Linked DNA regions of Canis lupus familiaris. The protein of the gene in region 4 purifies or fractionates together with the protein of the main gene of each other region. This does not show direct contact. Links are inferred from orthologs where the notes say so. Each region holds a gene or a part of one and is shown on either strand. Other genes may lie near its edges.

Evidence for each region. Proteins that work in one complex are often made in the same cells at the same time.
Region 1: the proteins of HDAC2 (region 4) and RB1 purify together in Homo sapiens (affinity purification with western blotting; 4 studies listed by BioGRID and IntAct, with this or other methods). This does not show direct contact. The link is inferred for Canis lupus familiaris from reciprocal best matches to the Homo sapiens genes HDAC2 and RB1.
Region 2: the proteins of HDAC2 (region 4) and EHMT2 purify together in Homo sapiens (co-immunoprecipitation; 4 studies listed by BioGRID and IntAct, with this or other methods). This does not show direct contact. The link is inferred for Canis lupus familiaris from reciprocal best matches to the Homo sapiens genes HDAC2 and EHMT2.
Region 3: the proteins of HDAC2 (region 4) and SP3 purify together in Homo sapiens (affinity purification with western blotting; 3 studies listed by BioGRID). This does not show direct contact. The link is inferred for Canis lupus familiaris from reciprocal best matches to the Homo sapiens genes HDAC2 and SP3.

Annotation. Positions count from the first base shown.
Region 1 is NC_049243.1:3,171,119-3,175,960, reverse strand, and holds the start of RB1 (retinoblastoma-associated protein), read left to right. Parts: upstream 1-1,734; 5' UTR 1,735-1,833; coding exon 1,834-1,961; intron 1,962-2,789; exon of another isoform or gene 2,790-3,683; intron 3,684-4,132; exon of another isoform or gene 4,133-4,218; intron 4,219-4,403; coding exon 4,404-4,530; intron 4,531-4,842. UniProt on the Homo sapiens protein: Tumor suppressor that is a key regulator of the G1/S transition of the cell cycle. The hypophosphorylated form binds transcription regulators of the E2F family, preventing transcription of E2F-responsive genes.
Region 2 is NC_049233.1:1,484,269-1,489,244, reverse strand, and holds the start of EHMT2 (histone-lysine N-methyltransferase EHMT2), read left to right. Parts: upstream 1-1,868; 5' UTR 1,869-1,883; coding exon 1,884-2,163; intron 2,164-2,258; coding exon 2,259-2,477; intron 2,478-2,576; coding exon 2,577-2,827; intron 2,828-3,742; coding exon 3,743-3,827; intron 3,828-3,924; coding exon 3,925-3,965; intron 3,966-4,085; coding exon 4,086-4,241; intron 4,242-4,976. UniProt on the Homo sapiens protein: Histone methyltransferase that specifically mono- and dimethylates 'Lys-9' of histone H3 (H3K9me1 and H3K9me2, respectively) in euchromatin.
Region 3 is NC_049257.1:18,388,833-18,393,675, reverse strand, and holds the start of SP3 (transcription factor Sp3), read left to right. Parts: upstream 1-1,735; 5' UTR 1,736-1,955; coding exon 1,956-1,962; intron 1,963-2,563; coding exon 2,564-2,733; intron 2,734-3,254; coding exon 3,255-3,386; intron 3,387-4,843. UniProt on the Homo sapiens protein: Transcriptional factor that can act as an activator or repressor depending on isoform and/or post-translational modifications. Binds to GT and GC boxes promoter elements. Competes with SP1 for the GC-box promoters.
Region 4 is NC_049233.1:70,469,917-70,474,311, reverse strand, and holds part of HDAC2 (histone deacetylase 2), read left to right. Parts: intron 1-732; coding exon 733-845; intron 846-1,885; coding exon 1,886-2,003; intron 2,004-3,969; coding exon 3,970-4,044; intron 4,045-4,395. UniProt on the Homo sapiens protein: Histone deacetylase that catalyzes the deacetylation of lysine residues on the N-terminal part of the core histones (H2A, H2B, H3 and H4).

The DNA.
Region 1 (4,842 bases), on a different chromosome or scaffold from region 4:
GGGACCCTGGATTTGTGGAAGACTAGCGAAGCTTTACGCAAGAGGAAGTGGTTTAACTGCGTTAACTGCAAGAAAGGCCAAGTAGAGAGAAGATCAGAAAGAAGTCATTGAACTGACAACTAGGACGGGGGCAACTTTTGAAAAGACTGGTTTCACTGTTGGGGAAAGATCAGGAAAGGCTTCTTTTAAGAATCTGCAGAATTTCTTATGTTTCTTTGGTTGTGCAACAGAAAGCCGTGTGGGGGGATTTAAAACTTTGACCCGATTGTTCCTGAATCGTGTGTATAAGGATTTATTTATTTGTTTGTTTGTTTGCTTATTTATTTATTTTCAAATCCTCTGACCCCCCATCCGCTCCCTAACGCTGGGCGGATTCACCCATCTGGGGAAGACCAAAGCACCGATTTCAAAGGGTTGTTCTGAGGCTGGCGATCACTGGTTGAGGCCCAGCACGCGCCGGGCACACAGTGGGCGCTCGTCCCGCGTGGGCCGGGCCGGGCCGGGCGGGCCGGGCGGGCTTGCATTCATTCAGCTGCCGCTTTTTCTCTGAAAATGCCCCTTACAGTTTGCCGGCCCCTCCCGGTTCTGTGCGCGCGCGCGCGGTTTTTAAAACTTCGTTTACGGGGCAGCCCGGGCGGGGGTGGGGGGTGGCTCACCAGCGCGTGACCCCGGGGTCCCGGGTTCGAGTCCCGCGTCGGGTCCCCGCGTGGAGCCTGCTTCTCCCTCTGCCTGGGTCTCTGCGTCTCTCTCTCTCTGTGTCTCTCATGAATAAATAAATAAAATATTAAATACAATCCTGACTTAAAAAAAGATGAAAGTTCATTTACTCCCGAGGGACACCCGGAGAGGGCGATGCTCGGACGCGGGACGGCGGGCGGCGCCTGCGGGGGGCACCGGGGGCCGCGGCGGGCGGGCGCTCAGGTCCTCACCGGCTCTGCCCCCGGCCCCGTCTGCGCGCGCAGGTCCCGGAGGGCGGCCGTGCTTCGCCCCGCGCGTCCCGCCGTCTCCCGGCGTCGCCAGCGTTCGCGGCCCGGGGGGCTCCGCAGACGGTTGTTTTTGTTTTGGCGGATCCGGCGGGGCGGATTGGGCGGGAGCGGGAGCGGGGGCGGGGCGGGGAGGGGCGAGGGGGCGGGGCGGGGAGCGGAGGGCGGTCGGGGACGGGGGGACGGGGAGACGGGGAGAAGGGGAGAGGGGGTCGCAGCGCGGAGGGGGCGGGGACGCGGGGGAGGCTCGGCGGGGGCGAGCCGGAGGTCGCGGGGCGGTGGGAGGGCGCGGACGCGGGTCGCGGGGGGGCGGCGCGGAGGGGGCGGGGAGGGGCGGGGAGGGGAGGGGGCGCGGCGGGGCGGGGCGGAGGCGGCGGGAGGGCGCGGCGCGCGGCGGGGTGTCGCGGGGCGGGGGGGCGCGGCGGGGCGTGCCCCCGGGGTGCGCTCGCTAGATACGGCGCCGCCGCCGCCCGCCGCCGGAGCGGGGCCCAGGGCGGCGGGGGTCGGGCCCGCGCCGGGAGAGGCGAGCGCGTCCCGGGGGCCGCGGGGGTGCAGGCCCCGCCCGCCGCGCGCCCGCCGCCGCCCCGCGCCCCCGGAGCGCCCCGTCCGTCCCGCCGCCGGCGGCCCCGGAGCTCGCGGACGTGACGCCGCGGGCGGAAGTGACGTTTTCGCGCGGCTGGCCCGGCGCTCGGTGGGCGGCGGGAGGAGGGCTCGTGGGCTCCGCCGGGCGCCGCTCCCCGGGTCTGCGCGCAGCGGGGCGGCCCCGAGGTGCGCCCCCCGCCCCGCCCCGCCCCGCCCCGCCGCGCCGCGCCGCGCCGCGCCCCGCCCCGCCGCCGGCCCGCGGACAGCCATGCCGCCCAAAGCCCCCCGGAGGGCCGCCGCCGCCGCCGCCGAAGCCCCGCCGCCGCCGCCGCCGCCGCCGCCGCCCGAGGAGGACCCGGCGCAGGACAGCGGCCCCGACGACCCGCCTCTGCCCGGGTGAGCCCAGAGCGGCGGGGGCGGGCGCGGGCGCGGGCGGGGGCCGGGGCGGGCGCGGTGTCGGCGGGGGCCGGGCGCCGGCTTGACAGGTGTCGGGCGGGGGGGGGTCGGGCGCCCGCGCCCGGTGACAGGTGCCGCCGCCGCGCCCGCGGACACGGAGCCGGCGGCCGACGCGGCGGGGGACGGGCGGCCTCCCGCGGACACGGCGGCGGCGACGCGGCTCCAGGCCTCGGCACCGGGCAAGCCCCGCGACGCGCCCCGCTGGAGCGCCGCTGCCTGCCTCCGCTCCCTCTCCGTGGTCCCCCTGCACAGCCTCGGTATCCGTCTTCGGCGCTTTGCAGCGCTTCTTCCATTTTGCCTTCCAGCCCGGACACATCCTCGCGCCTGCTCTTGTTTTGTTTCGCTTGGGCTGCAGAGTTCGTGAGCTGCCCGTGCTCACAGCACACTTCTCCCCCCCCCCCCCCCCCCCAGCACCAGCACCGCCACCAGCACCAGCACCAGCACCACCAGCACCAGCACCAGCACCACCCGCACCACCACCAGCGCCACCACCAGCACCAGCACCACCAAGTGGTCTCTAAATTTAGGCGACTACTGTGATAATACAGTAGAACGTGACAGGGAGGACTTATTCTGTTGCAGCATCCTATTTTTCACGATCGTGGTACTTTATGGTTAAGAACCTAAGACTGAAAGACTATGATTGCCATTATTTTTGCCAGTCCTGGTTCCACCACTCTGAGAGTACCTGTTTTTTGTTTTGTTTTGTTTTGTTTTGTTTGAGAATGGGATTGCTTTCTTTTCCTCACCGCTTCCTCACCTGTTCTAGTCCATTACTAAGCCCTATTCTTTGAACTTGCTAGACACTAACAGGGTTCAGATAGATTGTGAACGATTGGAATGGGCTTCTGGGATGGCCTGTGAAAAGCTGTTAAAAATACATATGTTGAAATGGGTTGTCTTACAGGTCAGTTAAAAATCACACTCGCTAATTGGGGGGAAAAACAGTCAAGCTGTTCTGAAAGCAAATTTAATTTCTGATTAAGCTCTGTTGTGTCCAGTACTTGAACGTTTTCATTTGGAAAAAGCAGTAAATCTACTCTATAAAGAGTTCCATGTTTACCACGGAGCTTTGGAAGCGTCCTCTGGATTATTGTAGGGTAACCAGAAATATTCAAATTAGGGCCCCCACCTGGGAAAAGAAGGCCTTTCTTCCCCACCCCAACATTGCATTATTTACTTTTAAATGATGGAACTATAAAAAATTTTCCTGTAAGTAAAACCATACAGGATACACTCCACTCTTGATTAACCATACCCCCCGAAAGGTTTTGCTAGTACGGGCAGTTGAACTGTGTAGACTAGCTGCTTAGCAAGGGTGAAACTAGTGCCTGGCAATCCAAAGCCAAGCGTCCTGCTTAGGGATGGATTCAGGGCCCGCTCCACCTGCATTTTCAGTGATGGAATCTGTCTGTACCTTGAAGCTGAGATCTTCTCTCTGTTGCATTATATCTGGCCTAAGTGGGAATGTTGGAAGGGAAACCTTCACTAGGAGCAAGAGTGCACCCTCCTTGTTGACATGATCAAAGTTAATTACGCTCTGAAGGAGGTTTACCAGTCTGGCATAGTGGTCAAGGGCATGGATCATGGAGTTAGACTTGGGTTTCCCACTTACTGGCCATGTCCTCAAGTGAGTCCTTTAACTTCTTATTTGGTACTTGTCTGTAAAACAAGGATAAGAGTACTTATCTAGTAGGCCCATGTGTGGATTCCACTGAAACTATACATTTAAGATACTTTATTCACACAGGCTCAGAGTAAATACTCAAAAATTATTAGCTATTCCTTATATTATTATTAGGTGTCAAATAGACATTAAGAGAATGAAAGGGAGCTAGCCAACAAGAAACTATTGACTACCTATCTTGGGTAAGGAAGATCGAAGAGAAAAGGCTGAAATAAGAATAGCAGGAATTCATGTTAAGTTTCTTATTACGTGAGAAATGCTTATAGGTAGAGAGATTATATGAGACGTTGATAAGCGTAGACTGCATTTTAGCAAAATTGCTGATACTAAATTGATTCTGCAATATCATAAATGGGCTTTCTTCTTTTTGCTCTTATTGTCATCCCGCTTTTCCCATACAGCGTTAGCTATCATACTTACTTACTTTTCCAAAGCTATTTTGCTGTTCTGGTGTGTATGTGATTCAGGCCAACAAACATCTTTCACTGTGTTGTATATTTGTTGGAAGGACTATGAAAAAAATAAACATTTAAATTCTGTAATTTTTTTTCAAAGATAAATAAGATTTTAAAGTACTTAGTAATGCCTTTTTTCAGAATAATGATGTTTGTTATATGCAAACCATTGAAGCAAATGTTTACTTTTAGTTTGATTTCTAAATATATCCCCATTATATGTCTGTTTTTATCTGGTAGGCTTGTGTTTGAAGAAACCGAAGAACCCGATTTTACTGCATTATGTCAGAAATTAAAGATACCAGATCATGTCAGAGAAAGAGCTTGGTTAACTTGGGAGAAAGTTTCATCTGTGGATGGAGTATTGGTAAGGATTTCTTTAACATTTTTTGAAGAAAACTTTCTCATTATTTTTTAAAAAAGATTTTATGTATTTGATAAACAGAAAGAGAGCCTGAACATGGGGAGGGGTAGAGGGAAAGGAAGACAGAGAATCTCAAGGAGATTCTCTGCTGAGCACAGAGCCCCATGTAGGGCTCGATCTGAGGACCCTGAGATATGACCTGAGCCAAAACCAAGAGTCAAATGCTCAACTGACTGAGCCACTCAAGTGCCCCCCAATTTTCTCAATTAAAAAATGATTTTGAATTACTATAGATAACTTGGAAAATAGAAAAAT
Region 2 (4,976 bases), about 69 Mb from region 4:
TGGGGTTTTAGTTTTTCTGCTTTTGTTTTCCACAAAATAAATTTAAAAAAAAAATCAAACTTTTTTTTTCTTTATACTCTGTTTGGCAACTGCGTGTGTATGACCGTCCCACCCTGGACAGCCTCTCCCTTTTATGCTGTTTGCTCACTACTCAGCGCAGCTCATGCAGAGGTCCTATGCCTGGAGGAGACTTGACAAGACCAAGGGACTGTGACAAGTGTGCTTCTCTGGCTGGGGACCCTCCCAGTTCGGCAACCTCAGCACCTGGCAGATATCTCACACTTCTGTTCCACGATTGGTAGTGGTGATAACTCACGACTTCCCCATCTATCACGAGAGTTTGGTATCAGTGCTAGGGATGAACTATAAAGGTGATCATTATACCCACCAAAATTTTAAGCAGGAGCCTATGTTTGGGCATTTATGTTCTGAGAAAAGGGTTCATGTCCTGGGAAAGCCAGAAAAAAAAAAAAAAAAAAAAGTTTGGATTAGGGCATGGGGAAGACTACAAGTCCCACAAAGCTCTGAATAGTTCTTAACCAAAGAGAACTACAGTTCCCAGAAGGCCTTGAATTGGCCTCAGGTGCCCTGGAGCCAAACCACGGACCTCTACCAAATACTGCGCGTGAGATCTTACAGGGTTTTTTCCAAACTTTGACCAGAATATAATACCCAAAGGGATGGTACCCTAAATAATGCTATCAAGGTTTTTATCTCGGTGTAATATCATTCATACTTCCTCTGTCAACTGGGCTTATGACCCACGGAATGCCTAGGCTTGCGACCAAAAAAAGGCTCCTTAGTATAGTGTACTCAGCAGGCGGTGATGACTGTGGAGCCTCTGGGGGTTACTCAGGTCCCCGGTGCACTTGGTGCCTTAGCATACCCGGCTCAAACAGAAGGGACCCTGAGCCCCGGGTTCAGGAGAGGACGCTGCTCCTGCCGGTACGAAGCAGTCGAGAGCACCGGTGTCCTCCATGCGTTCCCGCTGCCCCCTTCCTGCTCGGGGGAGAAGCGAGGCCGACACTTGCTACCCGGAGACCCAGAAACTAGAGCGCACCGAGGCGGGAGAAGCAGACGCGGGCCTCCTCGGGAAGATAGCCGCCGCGAGCCGGGACGCTCAGACGCCGCTCTCGTTACCTACGGACAGGCGGGGCACGGAGGGGCCACCCCGGCCAGGCGTGCCTCGCCTTCGGCTCCCCGCGCAGCCGACGCCCGCAGCGGCGGGAACGCGCCCCCGAAGCCCCCAGCTTAGGGCAGCCGCTGCCACCGCCGAGGCCGCTCCCGGCGTGGGGGGAGATGGCCAGAAAGCGCGCCGTGGCTCCTTTAAGGCCCCTCCTCGCCCCCCCTCCCCGCCCACGTGACCCGGGGCGGCCGCGCGCCGGCTCGGCCCCCCGCGCAAGCGGCGATGGCGGCGGCGGCGGGAGCTGCAGCGGCGGCGGCCGCCGAGGTGCGGAAGGGGAGGGGGAGAGGCGGGTGCATGCCCGCGCGCGCGCCCGGGGGAAGCGCGCGCCCGTGCAATGCTCCGGGGGTGCAACGGGGCCGGGGGGCCCGGACGAGACCTACAGCAATCCGGAGGGCCAGCACCGGGGGCGGATGAGGGGACCAGGGGGTGGGAGGTGGGGGGAGTGGGCACGGAGGCGCGCGTGCAGCCGCCGGCTGCCCCCGAGTGGGCAGCGGGAGCCGGGGCCCCAGGAGCGCGCGCGAGGGGCACGAGGGGCCGTCCGCCGGGCTGGGGAGCGGCGGGCGCTGGAGGGGTTGGTGCCCGGGGTCCCCGCGGCCTGGGGGACAAAGGGGGAGCGGCGCGTGCAGCCGGGAGGAGGGGGCGGGGCCGGGGCGCAGAGGCCCCGCCCCCTCCCCCTCCTCTTTTCCAGGCCCCAGAGATGCGGGGTCTGCCGAGAGGGAGGGGGCTGATGCGGGCCCGGGGGAGGGGTCGTGCGGCCCCCCAGGGCAGCCGAGGCCGCGGACGGGGGGGCCCCCATCGAGGAAGAGGTAGGCCCCGGAGCCTACTCTCTCTTCCCAGAGCCCAGGCGTCCTGGGCTCCCCAACTTCCTAGCGGGCTGACCAGCCCTCCTATACCTTGTGTCCCCTGCCAGGGGGAGGCCCCTGCTGAGATGGGGGCGCTGGTGCTGGAGAAGGAGCCCAGAGGAGCCTCTGAGAGAGGTGAGTGCGGCTGAACAGGCCCAGCTGGACCTTCACCTCCCCCAACACAGGATTCCCCGAGACCTTAGCCCTGAACTTTTTCTTTCCCCTTACAGTTCACGGCTCTTTGGGGGACACCCCTCGTGGTGAGGAGACCCTGCCCAAGTCCAGCCCTGACTCCCTGGAGCCTGCTGGCCCCTCATCCCCAGCCTCTGTCACAGTCACCGTGGGTGATGAGGGGGCTGACACCCCCCTAGGAGCCACACCGCTCATTGGGGATGAACCTGAGAATCTGGAGGGAGATGGGGACCTCCACGGGAGCCGAATCCTGCTGGGTGAGAGGCTGGGGAGTCAGGGGCCTGGGGGGCAGAGGGGGGGTATCCTCTGATTACCTCTCGTCTTACCTTGTTTCTGTCTGCCTATTTGTCTTCCAGGCCATGCCACAAAGTCATTCCCCTCTTCCCCCAGCAAGGGGGGTGCCTGTCCCAGCCGCGCCAAGATGTCAATGACAGGCGCAGCAAAATCACCCCCCTCAGTCCAGAGTTTGGCTATGCGGCTGCTGAGTATGCCGGGAGCCCAGGGGGCAGCAGCGGGGCCTGAACCCCCTGCAGCCACACCCAGCCCAGAGGGGCAGCCCAAGGTCCACCGAGCCAGAAAAACCATGTCCAAACCAGGAAATGGGCAGGTGAGAATGAGGGGGAGGGGTGGAGGTGGGGAGACCCAGGTAACCCACTGTGTACCCCTTGTGGACTTTTTTTTTTTTTTTTTTTTTTTTTTTTTACAGTTTAGCTTCAGACTTTTTCTCATCCCTTCAGGGCTCGCCATACTTACCTAGGGGCTACTGTGTGTCAGATTCTGGGCTGGGCTTGATCTGAACAGACAGACAAGTTTATATTCTTGGGGAGAGGGGAGTTGTAAAAAAGGTTAGAGGGGCACTTGGGTGGTTCAGTGGTTTAAGCATCTGGCTCGGGTCATGATCCTGGATCTAGTCCCACATCAGGGAGCCTGCTTCTCTGCCTCTGTTGCTGCCTCTTTTTGTCTCTCAGGAATAAATAAGTAAAATCTTTAAAAATAAAAAAAGGTTAGAGGATTACTGTTGTAGTTAATTGTCCCAATTATTCTTATGATAATGACTAAGGAACTTCTAACTTGCTTTCTACCTCAAAGCAAGCCCCAAGGGAGCTTTTTCCCTCCCTTTGAAACTCCCCCTGCTTCCTTTTTCAAAGGGCTTCTAAGGATTTTACTGTGACTCCCTACAGGGAAGGAGGGTGAGGGAAAGGACAAAAAGCCCCAGAATTTCAGAAGCTTTGTGACAGTGTTTTTGGGGGTTTGGGTATGGTTTAGGTAGCTTTGGGCAAGGCACAAACCTATTTTCTCATCTGTAAAATGGGTAAAGAGGGCCCGCTCCTTCGGGTGAGTGAAAAGGTGAGTGTTAGGTGTGGAATGTGCCTCATACCCTTCTTCTCGAGAGACAGCACTTCTTGTGATTGCCACATTCTGGCTTACTGGAGCTTCAGGTGACATTTTTGAGGGTGTGGCTCACCCTTGACTGAATGCAAATGCTCCCTGACCCTAAAGTGTGCTCCCTCTCTGCCACTAGCCTCCTGTCCCAGAGAAGCGGCCCCCTGAAGTGCAGCATTTCCGCATGAGTGATGACTTGCACTCGCTGGGGAAGATGACCTCAGGTCAGCGCCACCCCCACACCCCACCCACCTGCCACCTGATAAATCTTGTCCGGAGGGTCGAAGAACCAGCCTTATTCCTTTCTCTCTCTCCTTCCAGATGTGGCCAAAAGGAGGAAGCTGAACTCTGGAGGTGGCCTGGTGAGCCTAGAGAGGCTGAAGACAAGGCCTCTCCACCTGGGGGGGGCTGCATCCTGCCCTCAAGGGAAATGGTTGGGAAGGGAAGTACCAGCAGCTTCCATTTTTCTGATCTTTTCCTAGTCGGAGGAGTTGGGTTCTGCACGGGGTTCAGGAGAAGTGACCATGGAGAAAGGGGACCCAGGGTCCCTGGAGGAGTGGGAGACAGTGGTGGGGGATGACTTCAGCCTCTACTACGACTCCTACTCTGTGGATGAGCGTGTGGACTCTGACAGCAAGGTGAGAAGGAGCCAGCCTACCTCTCTGCCAAGGCTCACTCTCCAGTCTTTCCCACCCACCCACCCCCTTTGTCTCTCTTTCCTTTTTACCTTGTGACACCCCCTAATTCACCTTCCCATCCTCTCTGTAACTTCCTCCCTTTGTGTGTTCCACCCCAGCCCGGCCCCTCGCCCCTCTCCATTGTGGTAACCACCATCCTGGACTTTGGGTTTAGCATCCCATTTTGGTTTTGGGTTTTTTTTTTGTTTTTAAGATTTAATTTATTTATTCGTGAGAGAGACACACAGAGAGGCAGAGACACAGGTAGAGGGAGAAGCAGGCTCCACGCAGGAGCCCAATGTGGACTCGATCCCAGATCTCCAGGATCATGCCCTGGGCCAAAGGTGGCGCTAAATCGCTGAGCTACCCCGGCTGCCCCCATTTTGTTGTTTATCTGTGGTTTGTCTGTTTATTCTTTTGTTCTTAGTTTGATTTTATCTCATATGTTTGTATTTACCTATGTGACATAATGCGGTCTTCCTGACGTGCACTTTGTTTAACGTGTCAGGGAAAATTTCAGATATGCACAAAAGAGTAAATGGTGAGCCCTCATGGAGCCTCACCCTGCTCCCACAATTTTCAGGACACAGTGGCTCTTGATTCAGCTCTTCCTCCACCAACCGGCCCACCTCCCTGACTGTTTTAAAGTAGCCATCACATCATTTTATCTGGAGATGTTTCCATTTGTATCTTTAA
Region 3 (4,843 bases), on a different chromosome or scaffold from region 4:
TTATTGTCTCACAAAATGGGCCAAAAATTCTTTTTAGTTAGCACACGCAGAATCTAGTTTAGTGGCTTGGACTTTACGATCCTATCCCCCAGCAAACCTTTAACCTTCCGCAAAACACAGTCATCGAAACACGGATTCTTGTTTTGAGTCCAGACTTCTAAGCAACAGGGTTACGGTGGACCATGTCTTCGTCTTTTGGATTTATTAATAAATTCACTTTTTATTACATGTCACGTTCACAAATCCCACTTTTTTTGGGCAATTAGATCTAAAGGTAATAGAAATCTTTTTTTTTTTTTTTTTCTGGCCATTAGATCTAGAGGTAATAGAAATGTCACAAATGCCACTTTTTTTTTTTTTTTTGGCAATTAGATCTAAAGGTAATAGAAATGTTTATTTTAAAAAATTTTTTTTAAATGTCTCTTGACAAAACATGGCTCACACAGCCTGAGCCTTCCTCCCAGATTGACAGCACGATGTCAAGGATGGAAAGGAGTGCTAAACTAACCAACTAATCCAATATGTGCAATGAGGTTTTAAATTAGAGAGTTAACTAAAATGTCCCGAGGAGGAAAAAAAAACCAAAAAAAAAACCAAAAAAAAAAAAAAAAAAACCAAACCCCAAAACAAATAACATAACTTCGCTGAGAATCCCTATTTAAAAAAAAAAATGTTGGCTGTTAATGGGCTTTTTCATTTTTTTTTTTTTTTAAATGGGCTTTTTCAGAGGTTGACCTGTAACCCAGACCATCAGGGAAGCGGAGAATAATGTATGTTTAAGCAACAAAAATGAGTTTTTAAAAATAAATTTATTTTTTATTGGTGTTCAATTTGCCAACATATAGAACAACGCCCAGGGCTCATCCCACCAAGTGCCCCCCTCGGTGCAGCAAAAATGATTTGGGCGGATTTAAAAAAAAAAAAAAAAGAATTTGTACCCCGTGGAACACAGGCACTTGCCACGTACTAAGTGAAAGAAACAGCGCGAAGGCCGGTTCCGGGGGCGTCGGGCCGGGCCGGAGGGTGTCCCCGGGGAGTGGGGCGGGCCGAGCCCCGGCGGGCCCAGCCCCGGGCTCCTCGCGCACTCGCCTGCCCCCGGGCCGGGGCCGGGGCCGGGGCCGGGGCCGGGCGCGCGGCGGCTCGGGCTGGGAAGCGCAGGGCGGACGGCGCGGAGGGAGAGTCCTCCTCCGGCCTCCCCTCCTGGAGGGGGTGTCTCCCCCAGGCCAGCTCCCTCCCCCCGGGCTCGCGGGGCGGGTCTGCGCGGCTCGGCTCGGCTCTGCTCGGAGCCGGGCGGCGGCGGCGGCGGCGGCGGCAGGAGCAGCCCCGGGGCTGAGCGGCGGCCTCCGGGCAGCGCGGGGAAGCGGCGGCTCGGCGGGCGCGGGGCCCTGGGGAGACCGGCGCGGGCTGCCGTCGGGATGGAGGACGCGTCGAGGGGAGCCGCGGCCGCCGGGGCTGGACTCCCGGCCGGGCCCCGCTCCAGGCACCCGCGAGGCGGAGGAGGCCTGCGTCCCGGGCCCGACCGCGGCGGCCGGCGAGCCAGGCGGGCGCCGCGGGGGAACGGCGGAGCCGCGGCCGCTCTCGGGAACCTGCGCCGCCGCGGCCGCTTATTGTCTCTCCCCTTCCACCCGGGGGCAAACAGGAAGCGCGCCGGCTGCCCGCGCGACGGACGGGCATGCGGGCCAATGAGCGCGGCCGACCGGGAGCGCGGCGGCGAATGGGCGCGGAGAAGAGAGGCGGGACTTCCGGGCGGGCTGTCACCCTCTTCCCCCCTTTTGGGCTGGAGGCTCCACCTTTTGTGTTTCCCGCACAGTCAATCAAAATAGGAAAAAAAAATCCCCGGACCGCTCCGGCCGTGTCCGCCGCCGCTTCCCGCATCCTCTCCCGCCGCCGCCGCCTTCGCTCCTCACCATGTGTAAGGCGGCGGGGAGCCCCGCCTGAGGTGCCCTAAACACACTATGACCGGTACGTAGAGCCGAGAGCAGCCCTTGCCGCCGCCGCCGCCGACCACAGCCAGCCCTTGCCGCCGCCGGCTCCCGGCCCGTGTGCGCGACGAGTGTCCGTGAGAGGCAGAGCCGCACTCCCCCGCCGCCTCCCTGCCCTCCCGGCCAGCCAGCGTGCCCCCCGCAGCCCCAGCAGCGCCGTGTCCCCGCCGGGCCCCGGGGCGGGCGGCCGGGCCCGCCGGGAGCGCATCCCCCCGCGTGCGGGCGCGGGCGGCGGGCGGGCGCGTGTGAGTGACTGACGGTGCGAGAGGAGCGAGCGCGAGTGAGAGCGAGCGGCGCGGAGGGAAAGGGGAGGAGAGGAGAGGAGAGGGGGCAGGGGCAGCGCGGGGAGGAGGAGGAGGAGGGAAAGAGGAGGAGGAGGAGGGTTACAGGCAGCGGCGGGCGGGGGCAGCCGCGGGAGGGGAGGAGGGAGCCGCCGCCGCCGCCGCCGGGGGGCGGGTGGGGGAGGGGAAGGGGACGCGGCCCGGGCTTTCCGAGTAATTCCGCCGCGGCCCGCGGGCCCCCTCCCTCTCCTCCACCCGCCTTCCTCCCCACCCCCACCCCCCCCCGCGCTGTGCCTGCAGCTCCCGAAAAGCCCGTGAAACAAGAGGAAATGGCTGCCTTGGACGTGGACAGCGGCGGCGGCGGCGGCAGCGGCGGCGGCCACGGCGAGTATCTGCAGCAGCAGCAGCAGCAGCAGCAGCACGGAAACGGCGCGGCGGCGGCGGCGGCGGCGGCGGCGGCGGCGGCCCAGGTGAGGAGCGGCTGAGCCCCGGCCCGGCTCCCCCCAGCGCCGCTTTCTCCTCCCCTCGCCTCTCCCCTCCCTCCGCGCCTCGCTCTCTCTCTCCTCCCCTCCCCCCGCCCCGGGAGCTGCCCGCCCGAGGCGCCAACGCTCCGACCCCGCCCGCGCTCCCCCGCCCGCCGCCTTTTTGTGAGCGTGTGTGTGTGTGTGTGTGTGAGTGTGTGCGCGCGAGTGTGAGCGTGTGCGCCCTCCCGGGGGTGGGTTCCGGGCGGAAGGTGGGGGCCCGGCGCGCAGCCCGCCGCCCGCCTTCCCTCCCGCGGACGGCGGAGCCGGTGTGCGTGCGAGCGGGAGGACGCGAGCCCGAGCCGAGGAGGAGGAGGAGGAGGAGGAGGAGGAGGAGGAGAGCGCGGGCTGGCGCTGGCCCGGGCTCAGCCTGCGAGGACCCAGGCGCACTTCCTGTGCGAGCGGCGGCCCGGCCCTAACCGCCACCCCCTCCCCCTGTCTCCCTCTCTGAACCCGCCCATCGGGGGTAGGACACTCAGCCGTCACCGCTCGCCCTGCTGGCCGCTACCTGCAGCAAGATAGGGCCGCCATCGCCGGGCGACGACGAGGAGGAGGCGGCTGCCGCAGCCGGGGCCCCCGCCGCCGCCGCCGCCGCCGGAGCGGTAAGTCTCGCGCGCGCGGCCCGCCCCCGCCGAGGCCCTGCGCCCGCCATCCCGGGCCTGCCCGGCCTCCCGCCCGGCTTCCCGCCCGCCGGGCCTCCCCGGGCCCGCGCCTTCCGCGGTGCGGCCGGGGCGCCCTCTCGGGCTCCTTGGCGTGCCCGAGCGGATCGGAGGCCGGCCCGGGCTTTCTCTAGATTGTCACTGCGGCGCCTCGATCCGAATTCACTACAAAATGAAGTCAGAGAGGGCGGGGGTAGAGGACTCCAAAATGGATGTTTGAGCAATTCATATCAGTGCCGAAAAACTCCTTCGCTGCACACTACAAAATTTTCAAGCACAGCCCTATCGGCCATAGATAGTATCAACTACAGAAGGCAGTGTCTTTAGTTCCTAGTATTTTTTTGAACCTGGGGCTTTTCCTGCTGGAACTTAACTAGATCTTAAGTGATTTAAGGCGTAAATTGCTAAAAAAGACCCCTCCCCCCCAAAAAAATAAAAAACCTCAAAACGCGGGGGAGGCATGAAGGTTTATTCTTTGGAGATTACCCTTTTGTAATGCAGCAGTGAACACTGTGAGTGGTTTTTTGGGGGGCCATTCGAAGTTGTTGGATTTTAGTTTTTGCAGACGACTTAAATTTGCGGGAATTCTTCGTAAGTGGAGTAAGTGAAACCTACATTCATTTAGCGACCGTTGAAATTGGTGAAGTTATTACTCAGATGGTACTTTGGTTTTTGAAATTGAATATGAAATACTAGCGTTGGAAACAAAAGTACATGGAAGGAATTGTGTTTACCTGCCTGTTAACGTCTACTGCCCTTACAGTTGAATTTGGTTGGCAAAGCTGTATTTTCATTTTTATTACGATTACTGGTCTGGTAAGATGTGGTGGGAATTCTGTTTGTAGTGTTTTTAGTTTGTCTGGGGGCAGGAAAGAGGACCTGGTCAGTGTGTTGTAGGAGGGCTTAATACGAATTAACTGGACCCAATTTTTAAGACTGTTAATTGTGAATTTTATCTGTTTGAATTGTGTTAAACGTGTAGATGTGTTCACATTAAAATAACAAAAAGCTCTCTCAGTCATTCTTGGTTTCTTTTGAGGTGGATTATAGAAATTGATTTATGGAGTACTATTTTGATTGGTCACTGTAGACAAAAAAGTCTGATATTTGGCATAGTCTGCAGGAAATTCTTAGTATGTCTAGGCACTAAAAGTGAAGCTACTGTTAAGCTGTATTGTTAAATACTGTATTTGTAACTTTAGTGCTTCAAACTATACTGTAGAGGGATGTGAATAGTTTTAATGTCTTAAAAGTGTTTTAGGTTTTGTGCTTTCTTAAGCTGATTAAAATGTAAAAGCATAAAATTATGTTTGTGAGAGGCATTGTTACTTTTAGACAAACTTAGGGGTTGATAAGCCTTTTTTATGAATTATCCCTCTAGCCCCACAGTGCCAAAACAA
Region 4 (4,395 bases):
GTATGTCTTATTAGAGCAAAACTTTATTTAGGACCTAAATTTTATTTAGCAAAAATTTATAGACTGTAATATGGATATGTAGAACATTTTAACTCCCGTAATGCCAACTGTAAAATATTTCTGGGATGCCAGTAAATATCAAGAAGCAATATTTGCGGGCAGCCCAGGTGGCTCAGCGGTTTAGCGCCTGCCTTCAACCCAGGGTGTGATCCTGGAGACCCCGGATCGCGACCCACGTCAGGCTTCCTGCGTGGAGCCTGCTTCTCCCTCTGCCTGTGTCTCTGCCTCTCTCTCTCTCTCTCTCATGAATAAATAAATAAAATCTTTTAAAAAAAAAGCAATATTTGCTGTAAAATGTTTAAATAACAATGAAACTCAGAATTTGCTTTAGGCGTCTGAATTTGTCCATAAATACAAAAAATTAATTTTCAAATTTAAGTAACTAAAACTACTGTTATAAGTATTTTATTAGGGCTAATCCTAAATAAATTTTGGCAAACTGAAAATCTGAAAAGCTTGCTTGCTTTTAATCTCTAATAAACGTGTATTAATGAAGTTACCACAGTTAACGTAACCCAGTATCTTGGCTTTCTAGTACAGTTTGAAAATTGAAAGATCTGAGATCATTTCAAGTTTTAAATCTTGATTAGGTGGTAAGTGCCTTGTGATGATGAACACACATAAATTTAGACTGTAAAGATTCTCTATTCAGTTGTCTTTTTTCTATTTTAGGTGATATTGGAAATTACTATTATGGACAGGGTCATCCCATGAAACCTCATAGAATCCGCATGACCCATAACTTGCTGCTAAATTATGGCTTATATAGAAAAATGGAAATATACGTAAGTATACCTTTTGGTAAATATTCAGTGTTGTTTTTTTTTTTTTTAATCTACTTTGAAATTATTAATCCCCTTAAATGGCGTTTAGCAGATGAAAACAAACTCTGGAAGAAAACAAACTCTTTTTGTTTTAATCTTCAGAGAAAACAGTGTGGGAATGGTTTTTAACCCTCTTACTCGACCATTTTTCAAAAGTTTCTCATATCCCACCTTTTCACATTTTGGCCAACAACTCAGTTTAGCAAACTAAATATCTTTGTTGCAATAGTGGTTTACTTGGCTGTGCTGCTGAAGAGTTGACTATTACAGAAGAATTATGTAGGAAATTCTACAAATACTTACTGACATATGGAGCAGTGTATTAGTGGATGTGTACAGTACAGCTAACATTTAGGATACACCTACCTTAAGTGCTTTTGCACTAATGTGGAAGTATATGTAAACAAATGCAAGACACAGTTCTTGCCTGTTTGGGGAGAAAAGAAAGACTTGAAACAGTTACTAGTATTGAGTATATATGAGTTACTTTTTTCAGATAACAAATATTTACAGGAAAGGAGGGGTTGGATTATATACTTTCTGGAAGCCTCCTGGGAAAAGTGTGTTAAAAATGAAATTGAGCTCTTGGGAATAAGGATAATTAGGATAGGCAAAGGAAAGGAAGAGATTGTGAACAAAGACTTAAAATTGAGCTTGAGTCTCAGTCTCACTTGATACAGAGCAGACGGTTTATGATGGAAAGTGAGAGTTCCTGAACAGATTCAACTTTATAAGCATTGACCCATTTCCACTGCAATAAAAGGAATGTATAATTGGGGTCAGACCTGTCTAATGGCTTTAAAGGAGTAGGAATTAGCTTTGGAATTGATTACTCATTTCTAAGAAATACACGTATAAATTTGGATTCACTTTGGAATTTATTTTCTGGCAGAGCTAGTTCTTCTGAGAGGATTGTTAGGGGAAATTGTGTACGTGGTGTTTGATGACTCTGATGTAACCAGTTGTGGCTCCACCATTCTGACATTTGTTTTTCTTCACAGAGGCCCCACAAAGCCACTGCTGAAGAAATGACAAAATACCACAGTGATGAGTACATCAAATTTCTACGTTCAATAAGACCAGATAACATGTCTGAGTATAGTAAGCAGATGCAGAGATGTACGTTTCTATGTTAAAAGTCTATGTTAATCTTACTAAGGATCAGTGAGTATTTTCTAGAAGCATATCATTAGAATATCCACATGTAGGTGTTCCGCCTGAGGAAGATACTTCCTTAGTTAATTACTGGTTTGAAAAGTCAATGTAAAAATTAAAAATACTAAAACTGCTTTAAAAAAAACAACAAAAAAAACCAGGCGCCTGGGTAGCTCAGTTGACTCACTGATGCTGAGCTCGAGGCTTGCGTCGGCCTCCGCACCCAGCACAGTCAGGTCCCTCTCTCCCCCTGCTTGTGGGTGCGCCCTCACGCGGACCTGAGCACTTTCTCTCCCAGAAAGAAGGAAAGAAAATCGTAAAACCCAAAACAAAATCTACCCGAAGCCTGAGCTCTTGGGAATAAGGATAATTAAGATATCCATCTGCCAGACGGCCCAAGAGCTGTCTGGATGTTCCTCTAGTCTTTGTTTTGGTCCCATGTTACCTTGGGGATGATGGGTATTGGTGGGGAGACCTTACTTCCCTGCCTTTTTAAAAAAAAAAAAGTCTACTTGGATTGGCCTTAGCTTGGTGTATGTACGGATCTCTTACCTCTCTTTGTGTGTTTTAGTTAATCTGGATTGTTAATACATAATCTGTTCCATTTGTTAGTGAAGCTTCTTCTACGTGATTTTGATTTTGATTTTCTTCTACGTGATACTCTCTTTTATAGATACGTGTTTTGTTATTAGCGGTTGCCTGGCTTGAAAGTGGAATGAGAAATGTCTTAAAATGATTGAAACAGTTTTTTTTTTTAAAGCATGATACTGAAGTTCATTCTCATCAGCAGTTCTGTTCTCTCATGAATAAATAAATAAAATCTTTTAAAAAAAAGCAATATTTGCTGTAAAATGTTTAAATAACAATGATTTTAAAATCACTTCAGTGATTTTTTTTGAGAAGAACAATTTCAGATACTAAATTAGGTGTAGTGGCTTGATAAGTTATACATTCATAGAACTTTGTACCCATTTCTACCTTAGATTATTTCATTTACTCAATAAAATGCTATAATGCATGTAGAACATATTTTTTATACCTTTTTTTTGGATACAGGTTCAGGCTTAGATTAAAAGTCCTGTGTAGATAGGGCAAATGAATTAACAGGATTGATTTAATACATAATACTGAATTATATTAAGATTATGATTATATTTAAATAGTAAGAAACTAAAAGCTGTTCATTATCATGCTAATAAACTAAAGGTATACAAAGCTATGTAAAATAATTACCCTTATTTTTGAAGAGGTTATAATTGGGGTGGGAAGAGGCTGCGAATGGGTCATGTACATAAATAATATGTCCCTTTAATCCTGTCAGTACTGAGGAACTAAATATATTGCAATGTGTCATGTACCCGTGTTGTTTCCTTGTGCTTTACCCCTTCCTTCTATGTCTTGGCTGCTCCGAACCTAGTTAATTCTTACCATCCTTTAAGATTGGGTAGGCAGCCAGCTGCTTTGTCTTTTTAGTACTCACTAAAATATATTTCAAAGTTATGGATGTTCTGTGCATTTAAGGAGTTTTAGAAAAAGTAAATCATAAAGGAATTAAAGTTTTTTAAGTTTTTTAGAACCTTGATTAATTTGTTGTATGTTTTAGGAGAAATGCCTAATATTTAAGTGCGTGTTTTAATTTAAATAATTCAAATACCTTTTATATTTTGGTGGCTATTGATCTTCTGATAATAGAGCTGAGATTTTCTACAAATTATCCTGGTAGGATTTGGTGGTGATGTTTTACATATAACCCTTGAAATTACCTTGGATAAAATGATTAATTATATTTTTAAATAGCAAACTTTAGATTTATACTGTGATGTGTGATCCGTGATTACATCATATAAAAATATTTGTAAGGAATAGTTTTTGTAAGAAAAAACTTCATTAATTCGTAGAATGGATTGTAACTGAAATCCGTCTTTCACAGTTAATGTTGGAGAAGACTGTCCAGTGTTTGATGGACTCTTTGAGTTTTGCCAGCTCTCAACGGGTGGCTCAGTTGGTAAGTGTCCTGATTCAGATCTAAAGATTGATTTAAACTTGGTATTAATCTTCCTGGTTTACCTGTTTAAAGCAAAGCGTTTTAGTGATGATGGATTTTGATACTAAAAAGTGATCTGTATGTTTTTAGTACAGTTGTCTTTAGAAATCCCCATCTTTGGGGCACCTGGCTGGCTCAGTGGTAGAGCTTATGCCTCAATTTGGGAGTCGTGAATTCAAGTCTCATGTTGGGCACAGAGCTCACTTTTTAAAAACGAAATAAAGTAATGATTTCTTTCTTTAAAAATAAACCCCATGTTTTATGATCGTAATGACTTGAACTTTTTTTAGGTTCCTTACTTTTGTATTTTCA